Linked DNA regions of Rhinolophus ferrumequinum. The protein of the gene in region 1 purifies or fractionates together with the protein of each later gene. This does not show direct contact. Links are inferred from orthologs where the notes say so. Each region holds a gene or a part of one and is shown on either strand. Other genes may lie near its edges.

Evidence for each region.
Region 2: the proteins of MTPN (region 1) and CAPZB purify together in Homo sapiens (co-immunoprecipitation; 3 studies listed by BioGRID and IntAct, with this or other methods). This does not show direct contact. The link is inferred for Rhinolophus ferrumequinum from reciprocal best matches to the Homo sapiens genes MTPN and CAPZB.

The regions. Positions count from the first base shown.
Region 1 is NC_046309.1:12,102,407-12,109,684, forward strand, and holds the start of MTPN (myotrophin), read left to right. Parts: upstream 1-4,125; 5' UTR 4,126-4,401; coding exon 4,402-4,473; intron 4,474-7,278. UniProt on the Homo sapiens protein: Promotes dimerization of NF-kappa-B subunits and regulates NF-kappa-B transcription factor activity. Plays a role in the regulation of the growth of actin filaments.
Region 2 is NC_046292.1:13,114,477-13,122,740, reverse strand, and holds the start of CAPZB (F-actin-capping protein subunit beta), read left to right. Parts: upstream 1-5,234; 5' UTR 5,235-5,329; coding exon 5,330-5,332; intron 5,333-8,264. UniProt on the Homo sapiens protein: F-actin-capping proteins bind in a Ca(2+)-independent manner to the fast growing ends of actin filaments (barbed end) thereby blocking the exchange of subunits at these ends.

The DNA.
Region 1 (7,278 bases):
AATTGGAGCCTAATCAGGGAATATTTCTACTCTAGGGTAGAGACCCTTGCAATGTGTGCCTGGCAGGATTCCAGAATTGCCACAGACTATTGATTGCTATCTGTATCCCAGTCTTTTCCATTTTGAGAAGTGTTTGTGGTGATTATCCTGTTCCTACTCTATCATTGTATATTAGGTATGGAGGGGGGAGGGGCACAGATATTTTGTTTGTTTAGTTCCTGTGTCTCCATATCAAGGGAAGATATATCCCGGCCCAACTATTGTGAGATTATAGACTTTGAACTTGAACTATGATAGAATAGAACTTTTGGGGTTATTTCCCTGGAAGAGGGTATGTGTATATTTTGTGGGAAGAAAGGTAAACCTAGTATCTAACGATCAGAAGGACTGATGGGGGTTGTCACTAGTCTCGCCAGCTCAAGCTTCACCCTTTGGAGCTCTCTCGCCCCCTAGTGGTTGGGTGGGGCCACGTGACTAGTTTTAGCAACTGGGTTGTGAACATAGTGATTATAAATTACTTCTAGGCGAGAACATTTACTTTTAATTGCCATTGTGAGTTCCTCCAATGTACGTTTCTCCAATAGGGTGGCAAATCTCAGCCTGGGTTTCTGAGTAACTATGAGAAGCAAATTCCCCTGCCATCCATGTTAGACAGAAAGCATCAATAAGAAATAAACCTTTTGTCTTCAGCCACTGTGGTTTGCGGGGTTATATGTTATTGCAGACTAATCTAACCTATTCTGAATAAAACACCTATTTATTGTCTGCCTCTTGCATTAGAAATTAGGCTTAATGAGGATCAGCATCTTGTATATCTTGCTTTACATTATATGCCAGATATTTATCACTATACTGGCTCATAGTAGGTGCTCAATAAATAGTTCTTGAATTAATGAAGGAGAGAATTCTCTTAGCACAATTAAGGTTTTTGTTCTAACAAATGCTCCCTTCTGACAAAAATTTCTGTATTAGTCAAGATTCACTCAATGTTGCTACAGTAATAAACACCAACATCTCAGTGTCTTGAACCAAGTTTAATTATTATTTTACTACATATCCATTATGGGATAATAAGGGAGCTCTACTCATTCTAGTCCCTCAGGAACCCAGATTGACTGTAGCCACTGCTGCTGTCTTGAAAGTTGCTGGTTGCTATAGCAGAGGGATTAAAGAGCTCTGAAGCGTCTTGCATTGGCAAGCGTGGAAGTGATTCATATTACTTCTTCTCATAACTAATAGGTCAAAATTAGTTACATGATATTACTCAACCATAGGAAGCCAAGAAGAGCAGTTCTGTCTTGTGCCCAAAATGGCAGACAAAAGGAAATATTTGTTGAACACCATAAAAAAAAAGGTTTCAAAAAAAAAGTAATGAAAATATTTGTGATTATCGAAGTGAAGGGGGAAATAAAACTGGGCTATATGACAGAACTAATTGAGTGGGTGATCTGGGCGGCCTCTGTGAGGAGGTGACATTTGCATTGAGACCTCAAAGATCAGAAGGAGTGAGCAAGAATTAAAAGAACATTCCAGACATGAAACAGCAAGCATAATGGCCCTAGGGTGGAATGAGCTTGGTTTTTCCTGAAACTGGCAGAAGATGAGATCTATGGGAACCAAAAAGCCATGGAAGTGGGAGGGGCATGTCCCGAGATAGGAGAGACGGTCAGGGTCAGATCATGGAGTATCCCAAAGTCCATAACAAATAATCAGGATTTTATCCTAAATGCAATAGGAAGCCACCGAAAGGTCTTAGGACAAGAAGTGCATGCTTGATTTATGTTTTAAAAAGATAACTCTGGCTATGTGGGGAATCACTTGGAAAAGAGGAAGAGTGAAAATGGGGAGACCATCTAGGAGGCTCTGTAGCAGTGCAGAGATGATAGGGCTGGAAACGGGTGTGGCAGGGAGGGGTAAATCAGTAGTGAAGATGGCAAGAAGTGAACGATGTAAGATATGTTTTGAAGTACTTACTGATGGACAGAATATGAGGGAAAGACAGGAGTTATTTATGATTTCCTTTGTCAAAGACAAAGCAAGACACTAGTTGAAGCAGCAAGGACAGATTTTTACCAGCAACAACTACGGCAATAGGGAAAAGAGTCTACTGTGAACTGAACTCAGCTTTACTTGGACAGGGATGAGTAGGTGTTTTAAAGAGAGAATGAGAAAATAGCATGAGTAGGGTATCAGTAGAGTCATGGAAGTGAAAAATTAAAAAAGATTAGTCAGTATAAATGTGATTAGGCCAGCTATGTCTGCTAGCTGGCAATTATCGAAGTTAGGATTCTACCCTCCTACAGAGACTGGGAGGTAGACACCCTATCCTCAAGGGTTGGCTGGGACAAATGGGAAAAATATATATATGTATACATATATATATTTTTTGGTAGCTTTGAATTTTATCAAGCAGGAAATTTAAGGAGGACCAGGGCAATCTTAGGGATGTGGTCTTGAGCTGTTAGAAACTATGTTAGTTTTTATAGATCAAGGTTGAGGCCTAGTCAAGCGAGGACTCAAAGGAACCTGGCTAGAGTTTGGCCAAGGAGAGAATCTTTGCCGCAATGTGTTTGGTTTTAGTGACAGGGTGATTGGTGGTGTCATTCACACAGATGGGGAATTCTAAGGGACAATTAGGTTTAAAAATCTAGAGGAGATTAAATCCTATTTTGGTCATGTTAACTTTGAGACATTCAAATGAGTAAGAAGTTAAATATAAGAATGAGTCACACAGAAGTCTGGACTAAAGCTATAAATCAAGAGCTGCCAGAGTGATCTACATCAAAGATCACACAGGTAAGAATTAAAGAGATGGGGACTCCAGGATTTGCCTAACAAATTCCTCCTTGAAATTTGTTTCCAGAAGGGTAGCATCACTAGGTATATAATTAATTGTATTTCTAATGGTCACAAAGTACAATGAACAGAATTACAATCAATGCTGCTGTTAAATATTTGGAGATTTTTTTTTTTGTCTTTTGGTTTGAAACCTCTCTCTATTTGCTGTCTCTAAATGATAGCCTCCCACCCCTCGCCCCCAATTACATTTATTGAACACTATTGTCTGCCATTTTACACATGTGGAAAACTGAAGAGAGAAGTTAGGTAACTTGCCTAAGGTGACACAAAATTAGTTAAGGGTTGGGTCCTGTATTGAAAACTCAGCAATCTGGTTCCGGAGTCTGTGTTCTGAACCCTTATGTTATATGGCAACAAGCATAGTTAAGTAGTTTGGTTTTATTTGTTTAATGGAACATAGTGACTTTAAATACATAATAGTTCAGTAAGTGTTTTTGTTGGATCTCTCCATGCTCATGTGTGCACGTCCGTATCATTAGGGTTGAGGCACAATTCTTCTGGTGACTGTGCCTCGAGGTATTACAGCCAAATCCTAGGAAGCGTAGACTGGCTTCACTAGAAAGGTCCTGAAGCTTCAAACCCTTAAAAACACATGACCACAGAATTTTTAAAATGCAGTTGTAGGGGACAGTGAGGTTTGTCTGCACCATAGCATCACAGTGATGTCTTGGTCCTGGACATCATTTGCTGTCAAGGAAATGAGTAAAAAATTTTCCCCACCTCGGTGAAGTTTTCCTTCCGCAGAACATAGTATTGGCACAGAAAATTCACATTGCTGTCATAAGTATTATAGAGTTTCTTGAGCACAAGTATCCTTTTTTTATTTTTTTGCTATACCATTGATGATTTGTAAGAGCCCAAGTGATGCTTGATAGAAGAGGAAGTGAGGAAAAGAGACAGGGAGATAGGGAAGGAAAAAAGACAGGAGGGAAGGAATTCAAATCAAAGAGTCCTACTGGCCAATTTTAGGCGAGCAAGATGCCCTCCGAGGTTTTTTTCTTTTTGTTGTTAAGTTTTTGCCCCGTCCTGTGTGCAGCAACATCCTGACACCGTCTGAAATACTAACTGTCCAGCGTCGCTCGCTTTCTGCCCTTCCAGTCCTCTGATCCCCTCCACGGCCCCCCAGCCCCGCCCCATTCCTCCGCCTCCACCCAGTGGCCGCGGGCCTTGCCACTGCGCCTGCGCACACGGGTTGCTTCCCCCCGGGCCCTCGGGGCGGGTTCCTGAGAACAGGGAGGGGAAGAGGAAGAGGAAGTTGGGGGCGGGTCCTAGCTGGGAGTGAACCGGAAGTGTAAACGCTCCTACTGCTTCTCGGCCAGGCGGAACCTGTTCGGCTGGGCCCGGTGGCCGCAAAGAACTTTCTCCCGCCCTAACGGTTGCTGCGGCCAACTGCCTCACCCGCCTGGCAGCCTCACCCGCCTTCTCTTCTTCTCCCCTCAGGCTCGGCGCGGTCCTGTCTCCCTCTCGCCCGGCGGTATCCGCTTGCTGCCGCCACCGCCTCCTCGTCTTCTGCCCCGCCAACTGGCCCGCCCCGCTGCAGTAATGTGCGACAAGGAGTTCATGTGGGCCCTGAAAAACGGGGACTTGGATGAGGTGAAAGACTACGTGGCTAAGGTAAGCGGCGACGAGTGGGCGACAGTACGGAGGCGGGATGGAGATGAGGCTGAGGAAGCTGAAGGCAGCGGGGCTGAACGGGGGTGGGGGTGGGGAGGGGAGAGACATCCTGGATGGAGGTGGCCCCGAGGCGAGAGGGGAGTCGGGGAGCCTCTGCACTGAAGGGGGGTCCCGATCACGCGGGCGCGTTCTGGGTCAGGTAACTGCTGTGTTGACACAGCCGGGCTCTTCTTGCTTTCCTGACCACTTGGGGGAGGGGAGGAGAGGGAACCGGCTCCTTTGGAGTCACTTCTGAACACTGATCATGTGAGTTTGGCCCTCGTCTACGCCAGTTAGTTAGATCTTTCTTTGAATGAGGTAATTCTCCATCTTGAACCTGCCCGTTACTAAGTGAAGTGGCCTAAGCGATTAGAATCGGAGGAACTTTTTTATTAACGGTGGGCCGGTTAATGAATGTAACGTATTCAGTCACCGTGAAAAAGTACCCCAAATAGCAACAGTTAAAACGATGACACTTGGTATCACTTCACTGCGGGAGCCTTAACTTTGGGTGTGGCCTTTTTCCTCTCCTCCACTGCAACAAATACAGATTTGCTTCAAGTGTCAGTTGGCATCTGGGAGTGTTTAAGATATCTGAGTAGTTTTCAAACAAGCATGTTAACTTGAGGTACTCCATCTTTCTCCTTGATTCCATCTGAAATGCTTACACGAGTAGTGAACAGTAATGCAGTTTAGTTACAGTATATTTGAGGGTAAAATCATGATGAGGACAGCTAATCACAAAACTGAACTCAAAGTGTAAAACTGAATCCACATTATAGTGGATTGGTAAAATTCCGAGCTGGCCTGCCTTTGGACCCTGAAACTGTGCTTTTTGTAATGATGAGAGAACTGCATGTGATTCTGATACGATAATCGAAAGAGAACTCTTCCAAGACAAACGTATAACTTTATGACATAACCCTGGAGAGCATCTTGCTCACCTAAAAAGTGCGAAAACCCTGTCTAGATTTCAGGTCTTCAGAGGCTGTGAACACTAGTATGGTGCTGTGTTTTTGCTTCACAGATCTATGTTAGGAAACAAGCAGAAGCAGAGTTTCTTAAAACTTGTAGGATTGTGCAAGGCAAACTATTGATAGTTTTTACTCTGTTTAATACCGTTACAATTAGACTTATTGCGTGCAAATTACCTGCTTAGGGGTTACTTGCAGTGGATTTTTAGGACACTGTTCACTGCTTTGTCAGCTAGTGGCGGTCTGAAACCTGACTTACTGGATGTTTCAGTGTAAGATTAAAGGAAAGAAATTACTTGGATCACTTCAGTCCATGGTACACTTTCTAGTGGTGGACATTGTAGTACTCTGGAAATGAGTGGGCTTTTGTTTTTCTGTTACTGTGGAACCTTGGAATACGAAAAGTTGATCAGTACTGACTGAGCTTACAGTTACAAAAATAACACAATTTATGTAGTGTCTTCCTGATGGCATTATTTTATATCATCCTTGTGAGGCTTGTGAAGTAAGTCCTTTTATGAGTCCCATTTTACGGGTAAGATTACTGAGATGAGGGTACTTAAGAAAAAAAATCCAAAGTTACAGAGATAACAAGTGGTGAAGCTAGAACTGAACTGCTGACTCCAAAACTTAGACTCTGTCTGCTCCATGCTGTCTCTCACGATCTAAAATGTAATCGCAAAAGCATGATACCAAGATTTCTAGTAGGACATTCCCGTGGTCAACATCCAGGTAGATAAATTATATATGAAGAGTTCTCAGTCACAAAAAAATGTATGTAAAAATATGTACCCATAATGACGGATTAATTTGTTTTCAGGTGGTTTGTAAATTAGGTCATTATGTTCAGTTTGATTTCGTGTTTTTCCTGCAACTACCAACTCTCATTAATAAAAAAAGATATATATGAAAGGGAGGATAGACATTCAAAGAAAAGTAAAAGGGAAGTATTAACTGGTTTATCCAAAAAGGTTTGACTATAAACTAATCCTACGAACAGATCATTGAGCTTTTCCCTTTCTTAGTTTTTATGAGTAATTCGAGTCTCTTAAAATATCTTTTGCTTTGTTAATGAAAAATTACAAAAAGTAACCCAAAACTAGCACTCCAGCTTTTGCTTACTGAGCTCCCTTATTGACACTCTCGAGTCCTTAGGACAGTGTCTTCTGCTTAGCAGCCCCTGCTTATTCATTGACTCATCTTTTTCGTCCACCGATTTATGAACACTCATTCCTGTTTTCCGAGTTTGTGTAATGTGCATTTATCTAAGTGTGTACGAAGAAAGTCCATGAAGAAACACGTGGACTTGTCTAGTGTTCCTTCTAAGACGTGAGAGTCTTTAAAATGTTCTCATCTGTACTCCTGCGAAGATCTCTCCCGTTCTTCACATATAAGAGTGGACCTGTAGGTGAAGCACTGTAGTATTCTCCCTTTCTAAATTCGTATTTTAAAAAAATCAATGATTGTGTTTTTCTACCTGCTTCTGACTTCTATACGGAAATCTGAAGTATGGCTAGGCAGAAACTGTCAGTTTTGGGTAAGTTCTTGAACTCCAAAAAATCAGTTCGGAGTTCCCAAATCGTTGAAAATTGTGTGGTTCTCAATGGGAAAAGCAGCGTATAAAGAAATTTTAAATTAGTAATAAATGTTTATCTTTAACATTAAAACAATATTGGAAACGGTTTGGCTTCTTGACCACCCTACAGACCATACTTAGTTAATTCATCCATTGTTAATTGGGCACCTTTCAGGTCCCAAGCACTTTGCCAGCTAGGCCTGGCATGATGGTGAA
Region 2 (8,264 bases), on another chromosome or scaffold:
CAAAAACACTAAAGTGAGGATGGAGTCATTATGGGGACAGAGCCAGGAGTGCAATTTCCAGGCTCTTGGCCTCACGTGGAAAGGTGCTCACTCGGGTAGTAAATGGCCATCAACTGTGATTGGATGGCCATCAGCTGTGGCTAGTTGGCCGTCAGCTGTAACCAGTGAGCCTTTGGCCATTAATATAACTGCTGTGGCTACGCTAGCACAAAAATGGGGGCTAGCAAGAAGATGGTGGCTGAGCTAGCAAGAGCGGATTGCAGCTAGCAAGTGAGGTTGGTTGGCAGAGAGAAGTGGACGGCAGGTTGCGGATAGTGTGGCTCCTGCTTCCTGTGTCTCCAACCCAGCTGCCAGCAAGAATATAGTGGTATGACTCCCCTATCTATGGCTCCGTGGGTGTTCCTTTTTGGCCTCACCATATCCTGCATTCTTATGTGGGGAGCGGGACCAGAGATCCCGCATGACACCCTGCATGACAGTCATCCACTTATCTGTGTGACCTTAGGCAAGTCATTTCATCTAAGCCTCAACTTCTTCTATAAAATGGTAACAATAGAAGCTACTAGCTCAAAGGATTGTTTGGAGGAATCAATGAGATGATACAACAACTTAGCACATAGTAACCACTCAATTAAAAGTAGCCATCACTTTATTATTCATTTTTGGTCCACTTATTCACACAATAATCCTATTATGTTGTTACTATTATCTTATTTCACAGACCTTCATTGAGCACCTATTATGTTCCAGGTGAAGATCCCTAGTGACCAAAACAGCAGTTAGATAACAGAAAAGAAGGGGTTCCAGAACTGAGCACTCAGAAAAGGAAGAGGCGCTATGAAAGGGAACTCAGAGGAAAGCTGAGCAGTGAGAGAGGAGCCTCAAGGGCGAGAGAAGCCAACTGCAGCAAACCCTGCGAAGTCAGCAAGATGAGGCCCCGAAGTGACCCACTGGCTTCTGCAAGATGGGAGTTTCCAGGCCAACAGGCAGAGGCAGAAGTTCACCCCAGACTGATCTGAAGAGAAATTGGAGTTGGTGTGGAAATAGCAACTGCAGAGAACTCACAAAGTTTGGATGTGAAGAGGAGCAAAAACATGGGGGAAGTGGCTGGAGGGAGAGTTTTGTTGTTAAAACTTAAAAAAAACCCTGAAATATTAGGACATGTCATTTCAAGCAGGTGGGAATGGTCCAGTACAGAGGGAGAAATTGGTGACTCAGGAGGGAGGGATGCAGAGTGCCAGTGAAGGGGTGGCTCTGATGGTGAACAAATGCTTCTTCAGTCACTGTGAGTGGGGAAGGCAGAGGACGTGGGCAAGGTGCAGGGTTGTCAGGGGATGAGGGGTCTCGTGTCCGATTGATTCTATTTCCTGTGTGAAGTATGAGGCAAGTTCATCTGCTCAGAGTGAAAGATGAGAAGGGGATAGAGAGGAGGAAGAGTGGAAAATCACCTCTGTACAGGGTGGGGGATTGAATATAGCAGGGAAATATAGGAGGATTGCTAGGCAGGATCGAGGGCTCCTTTGAACTTTGTGGACATCAATTTCAAGTGACACGCGTCACTTTTAATTTCCCAGCAATGTTCAGATATTCTGATGTAAGCAGAGAGTAGGGGAATAGCTGGGCTTATCTAAGGTTGGGCAAGTTAGAAGAAGAGAAGGGGGGCAAAGGGGCTATGGGGTTTTTCGAGGAAGCGAATGATCATTACTAAGTTGGTGAGGAGGGAAGTGAGCACAAGAGAGAAGATAAATATGCAAATCTGACAGGGTCACAGGTTTGTAGGTCGTGGTGACTTTGAAGAAATGCTGGGTGTGATATTGTCAGAAGGAGGCTCAAGTCAGATTTGGTATCTTTGCAATTGTGTTTTCTGAGATAGTACAATTACTGGTGAGAACAAGTCCAGAGTAAGACCATGGGAGTGGGTACTTACAGACGGGGGAAGGGATAACTCATTGGTAGAGAAGAAATGAGTAAAGGAGAAGTTAGTAAGATTTCGGATGGATTATGCTTATGGATGCTGAAGTCATAAAGTGCAGGCGGCACGTTGGAGGTCATGATAGCATGAACTTCAAGGGGTTGGGTTTTTGAAAGAGGAAGGGAGGAGAAACAGTACTAAAAATATTTATGGTGTTTGCCTGCCTACCCGCAGCCCCTTGTAGGGAGTCATGTTTAATGCCACATGCCCCCATGTGCATAGCAATACCTGACTGGTCAAGGGGTAGTGTCTGGCCTACAGGCTGCCAATGTGGTGCACTGGCCAGTGACCTGTCACCATTAAAAGGAGAGATGAGTTCATTGGATTCTGTCTTGGGATCTGGACTATGAAACACAAAAAGAATTTGCTGCTTAATAGCACAAGCTGATGCAGAGAATAAACGGACAAAGGTCATCAGGATGGACCTCACACAGGCTGAAATGTTAAGGGAATAGGGGTATAAACAAGCTGAGGATGCCAAAAAGTAAAGGAAGAATGTAGAAGATGCATCAAAAGCAGCAGAAATGGGGCCTCATGAGAGAGCTGGAGTAGCCTGTCCCTAGTTCTGGGTTGGTTCCCAAGTCCTCTTATTATGAGGTAACTTCCAAAGGTTTTTGAGCAGAGAAGCAATATAATCACACCTGGGGTTACGTGTTTGGGCTCTGGTCCCAGATTGCCTGGCTTTGAAATCATTAGCTATGTGATCTTGGGCAAATTACTTAACCTCTCTGTGCCTCAGTTCCCTCATCTGTATCATGAGAATAATAGCACTGCCCTTGTAGTGTTTTATTGAGAATTAGAGAAAATACAGGTGATGCATTTTGAACAAGCTTCTTTTCAGTATTATTTTCTTCAAATAAAATTGTCCCTTCTTTCACAAAACTTTCCCTTGTGATCTTATTTATCCCTTGGCTTCCAGGAGGATCACCACTTTCTCTTGGTCCTCTTCTCGCCTCCCAGACTATTCCTTCTCAATTGTTTTGCTGGTTCCGCTTCATCTTCTTGACCTCTCTACATTCACCTCCTAAGTGAGCTCACTTAGATGTCTTGTGCTTTTAAGTACCTTAAAATATTAGCTGACAGTTCTCAGTTTGTCACCAACTCCAGTTTCTTCCTCCAACTCCAGGCTTCCATACTTGACTACTTGACATCTCCATTTAAATCTCCAATAGGTAATCACAAACTTAACTTGCCCCAAACTGACTCCTATGCCCCCGCCCCTGAAAAAAACCCTGCTCCTCCTACAATCTTCCGCAGATCAATAAATAGAAAATCATTCCGGTGTTGATCAAGCTAAAAATCTTAGCATCTTCCTTTCTTCTTCTCATGCCTACCACCAATCCATCACCCAAAACCCAGCATACGATCTCTTCTTGCCACCTCAATGCTACTGCCCTGGCGGAAACACCTTCTTCATCTGTCTGCTGTGTGACCTTAGGTTACCTTTTCTGGTCTCTGTTAAGAAGATTAAATGAGTTATTGTTTGTGAAGTGGTCAACAGTGTGCAGCACATAGGAAGTCCCATGTAAGTGCTTTTTGAATAAATAAAAAATGCCTTCAATGCAGAAATAGCTTTCTAACGGCCCTGGTCCCCCTACAGTCCACTCAGAACACAGCAGCCTCCTGATCCTTTTAAAGCCCAGGCCAGATCCTGTCACACTGCTCTGCACCTCTCTGACCTCAGCTTCCACTGCTCTCCCCTCGCTCAATCTGCGCCAGCCACCTCGGTGTCCTTGTTCCATGAATACAGCAAGGGCTGTCCCCACTGGGTGTTTACCCTGGCTGTGCCTCCCTCTAATCTAATATTACTAAGTTAGGCCTCTTCTGGCCCCATTTTGGTTAACCTGCCTGCCTATGCCCTCACTCCCGATTTCCTCCACATCTCTAACCATCTGACACTGTTTACGTAGTAGCTAATTGTCTCCCCTTCAACATTCAAGATCTGCAACAAGGTGGACTATCTTGTTCATTGCTCTATCCCTAGAGCTTAGAACAGTCGTTGGTACATAGTAGGTGCTCGCTCAATAAATGCTTACCAAGTGAAAACAATTCCTAAGAGACACTCCCTTCTCTGAATTCCCACAATACAGGTATGAATCATTCTTGGGGAACCTACCTATATCACTTCTTATGCCGGTGGCAAGTTTTACTTGACTGTGAGCTCCCTAAGGACAGGGCTTGGCTCCTGGTAATAATGCCTGTCATTTATGCAACACTTTACAGGTTACAATCCCTGTATTGAATTAAATCCCTGTGCCTGAGTTAAATCAGGCACAGGTGGCCTGATTTAATTCTCACAAACGACAGTGAGCAAGTTAGGGAGGGCTAGCATCCCAGGTCTCCTGCCTTCTGGATGAACCTCAAATATTTGTTGAATGAAGAGGAATAAAAATATTTCCTGAGTCACTCTGGTGTGAAGCAGCCCCACTGGACAAATGGGCTGGTTCTCTGTAGCACATCTGAAAATACTCAGAACACCTACCATGCATTGAGCCCAGTTTTCTAATCCCTACCTGTGTCGTCCTCACAGCGATCCTCTAGCTATGAGGACATCTTTATGTCTTGTTCACCCCTGCTCTCTATTGGTGTCTCAAACAAGGCCTGGTATCTAGTAGGTGCTCAATGAGTGTGTGGCTCGAGGCTTTTTTTTTTTTTTTTAGAGATCGGTCTCAGGTGCAGCGACTTGCTCCAGGTCCCGCACGTAGCTAGCGGCAGCGCAGAGATTCCATTTCAGGTTCGCTCACTAAGCTCTCCCCGGGCTGCGCTGGGCCCGTGGGCCGCACTAGTTCCGGGTCCGCCGCGGGAGTGAGCGCGTGCACCGGGTGGGGCGGGGAGGGACTGACCCCTCCCAGCCCCAGTGCCTTCCGCATCCCCGCCCGGGAGGCCCGCGGGCACGGTTCCTCTGCCGCCACCCGCTTCTGCAGCCCCAAAGCAGGTGGCAGGGTCTGGGTGCGGGCAGAAGCCCACTCCCGGGATCAGCCCCGACACCGACGGGCACGCCACGCCGGGCTCAGAGCACCGGCCCGGCCCGCCCACTCTGCCGGCCGCCCGGCCGGGTCCCGCCCGCAAGCCCCGCCCCTCACTTCCCCGATCGGCGCTCCTCCCCCCAGCGCCGCGCTCCATACTTGGCGATCGCCGCGGCCCTGCGCGCTCATTGGCGGAGAGCCGGCTGCGTGGGGGGCGGGCCCGGGCCTGGCCGGGGCGGGGAAGGAAGGTGGCGGCGGCCCGGCGCGGGGGGAGGGGGGCGCTGACCCGGATGTTCACTCCTGGGCACCCGGGGAAGTGGAAGCGCCGGGCCCTGCTGCTGGGGGGAGAGCCACAGACGCCGGGACCGGGACCGCCGCCGACGCCGCCACCATGGTAAAGGCCCGACGTCACCCTCCCCCAGCCCCGGGGGCTCCGCCGGAGCTCACGTCCCCCTGCCCCCGCCGACCCCCGGCTTGTGAAGGGTGGGTTCCCCCGGGTGGGGGAGGGGCGGGGTCCGGGAACCCAGGTAGACACCATCCCTGCGCACTCAGGAGGGAGCTGCCCGCTCGGGCGGCTCGGGTGGGCTGCGTCCCTGCTTCCCCCTCCCAGACCCCGCCCTTGGCTCAAGCTGGTGTCCCACTCTCCACCTCCGGGTCTAGGCTGGTCTCCTCTATAGCCCAGGCTAGTCCCTCCTGGACCCGTGGGCCGGGCCAGGCACCCCCTCCGGTGACCCAGGTTTGGCCCCCATTTCTCCTCCCCCTGGCCTGGGCTAGGTCCCTTTTCCTCGTTCCTACGGCCCAGGCTAGGCTGTCGTTTCTCTCTGCCATGGCCCAGACTAGGCCTCTGTCCCCCTCCTCCATGGCAGCAGTCCGGACCCCCGTCAACTTCTCCAAGTGGCCTCAGCCTAGATGTGTTTCGTCTCTTCCATGGCTTCAGCTTGAACCTTCTTTTCCCTCCCTGGTCATAAGTTTGGGCCTCCCCTCCTCCGCCCATGCCCCCGCCTGGACGTCACCCCGCCCCACCCGCCATGATCCCCTTCCCTAGACTTCTCACCACTCTTAGAGTAGGCTGCGTCAACCTCCTTCTGTCCCGGCCTTTACCTTCCCTCCAGGGCCCTGCTCCCTGCCCTGAGCCACCACCTGGTCCCCTTCCCCGAAGCAGGGCGAACCTTCTTTCCCACCTGTGGGAAGCTTTGCAGCCCAGGGTGGGGTAGTCCCGGGGCTGTGCCTTTTCAAGTTTGAGGGTTACCCCTTCTGGGGAGGCCGTCTGGGAGCGAGCGAGGGAAGGGCGGGCATTTGTGTCCGGAAGGCAGCGCGGCGCTCTCCGGGCCTTTCCGCGGCGGCAGCCTCGGTGCTGCGGTGGGTGCTTGCGGAGCGAGCGGCTAAGTTCTGAGTGGGAGCGGAGTGATGCGGTGGGGGAGCAGACAGGGCAGGGATGAGCGCACAATCGCTCGGGAGAGGCCACAGCCCATGGGGGGGCGGGCAGTAGGCCCCTAGGCCAACATATGGCCTGGACACGATGCACCCCAGCAGGCGCAGCCTCCCTTTCCCCTTGAACTGTCAGCTCGTGAGGGTTGGAACTGCTGATTATGGAGGTGCCTCGGATCAGGTGAGCCAGGCTCCTGGTGTTTGTTTTGGTCATGAAGGCAGGTGCTCTCTGGGCACTCTACCTGGCTTGAGGTTTCACATAGCCCCACACACAGGAGTCTGCCCCTGCCCGAACCTTCTGCAGGGCAGGCCCAGCACCCAGGTTGGAAGGGCCAGGGGACTTCTCTGTCACATGGCCAAGGACCCATTGGAGAATGGACTGACAATTCAGGCTGTTCATCTGCTCCTCCCATCAGCATAAGCAGATGTTTGCATGTGGACTTTGGGCCCGAAAGGGTTTTGAGGATCTTGGTTCCTTGTTTGACGAAGGGATGTTGCTTCTGAACTGGGTGACTAATTCAGACTCCCCACGTTTTTTCTTGATGCCTTCCTGTATGTTAATGAACAAGGTGGCCAATGCCATTTTTCATGCTATTGGAGTTCTCTTCGTTGGCTGAGAACTGGCTGCATGGTGGGGGTGAGGGTGGCGGTGGCGGTGGCGGTGGCCCAGTCCTGGGCCTTGGTGGGGCAAGACTTCTGGACAGGTTTGGGTGAGGACTTTAAAAGTGGAGTGAAGTTTTGTCAGTTTGCTCTGGGGGCAAAAGCAGGGGAGGCTGGATGGAGTGGCCAAGTGGGGTGACTCAAGGCACGTATCTGGCTGGGAGGGGTGTCTTGCCTTGGCCCTGGGTGCCAGATTGTCCAAATGTGATGGGAAAGTGCCTGTAATGACCCAGGAGGAGCACGATGATACACAGCAGGCTTCTCAAGAGTCCTGTGTCAGGTCTTCTTTGGACAATCTGAAAGGACTGGAAGGGGTGGGGGACAAGGGCTACTATTTCTTCACGGGCTGCTCAGTGACTGCGTCGTGAGGTTCGCCTCTGTGAGCTCCTTTCATCCACACGCAGCCTTTTGAGGTATCCCCATTGGACGGGGAAAGAAGCAGAAGCTGGGGCGGACTAACTTACTCTTACTCAGGGCGTCGCTCAGTCAGTGGACGCATACCTGGCAGGCTCACAGCTTCTCCTTCCCATGCCCCAGGCTGCTAAGTGTGGGAAGACGTAAAGGACACTGCTTAGAAAACATAATAACGGGGTACTGTGCAGAGATGGCAAGGGAGGAGCAGCATTTATAGTCCTCCGCTCTACCAGCTGAGCTATCAAAGAAAGCACCAGGAGCAGCATTTACTGACTGGATTGTGTCCTGGGTCCTTTGCATAGGAGACGACGTTAGTGAAATAGTTGCTTGGGAGTGCCTGGGCCAGAACATGCGCTCTTTGACGGCAGGGATTTTCGTCTTGTGTTTTCTTTCCATGGCTTGAAGGAAATGGCTTGGAGGGCTCTCCTTTGGGGTGTGTCTGTATTCATGAACTTAACCACTTGGAGTTCATGTTCATTCTCTCATTAACTTGTTCTTAGTATCCCCTAGGCTGAGAAGTAATTTCTGACAGGCTATTGTCAAATGTATCCCCTACTTGAATACTGTAATAAACTGTGGAGACAGTTGGGGTAGGACAGAAACGGTGGGTCGGGCTGCAGATTAGGTAAATGAATGAAGAGCACTGTGGTTTTTGTTTTCAGTAGGTTTGATGGTAGAGAAAACAGGTGGATCTCAGTGATCCATGGAGGGAAATAGTGGATGGAGAATCTCAAATGCATTGGACTTCGGAGTAAATTCCATGATTTTTGTTGGCATCAGTTAAGAATACACAGACAACTGGAATTTATATGCATTCCCCTTGC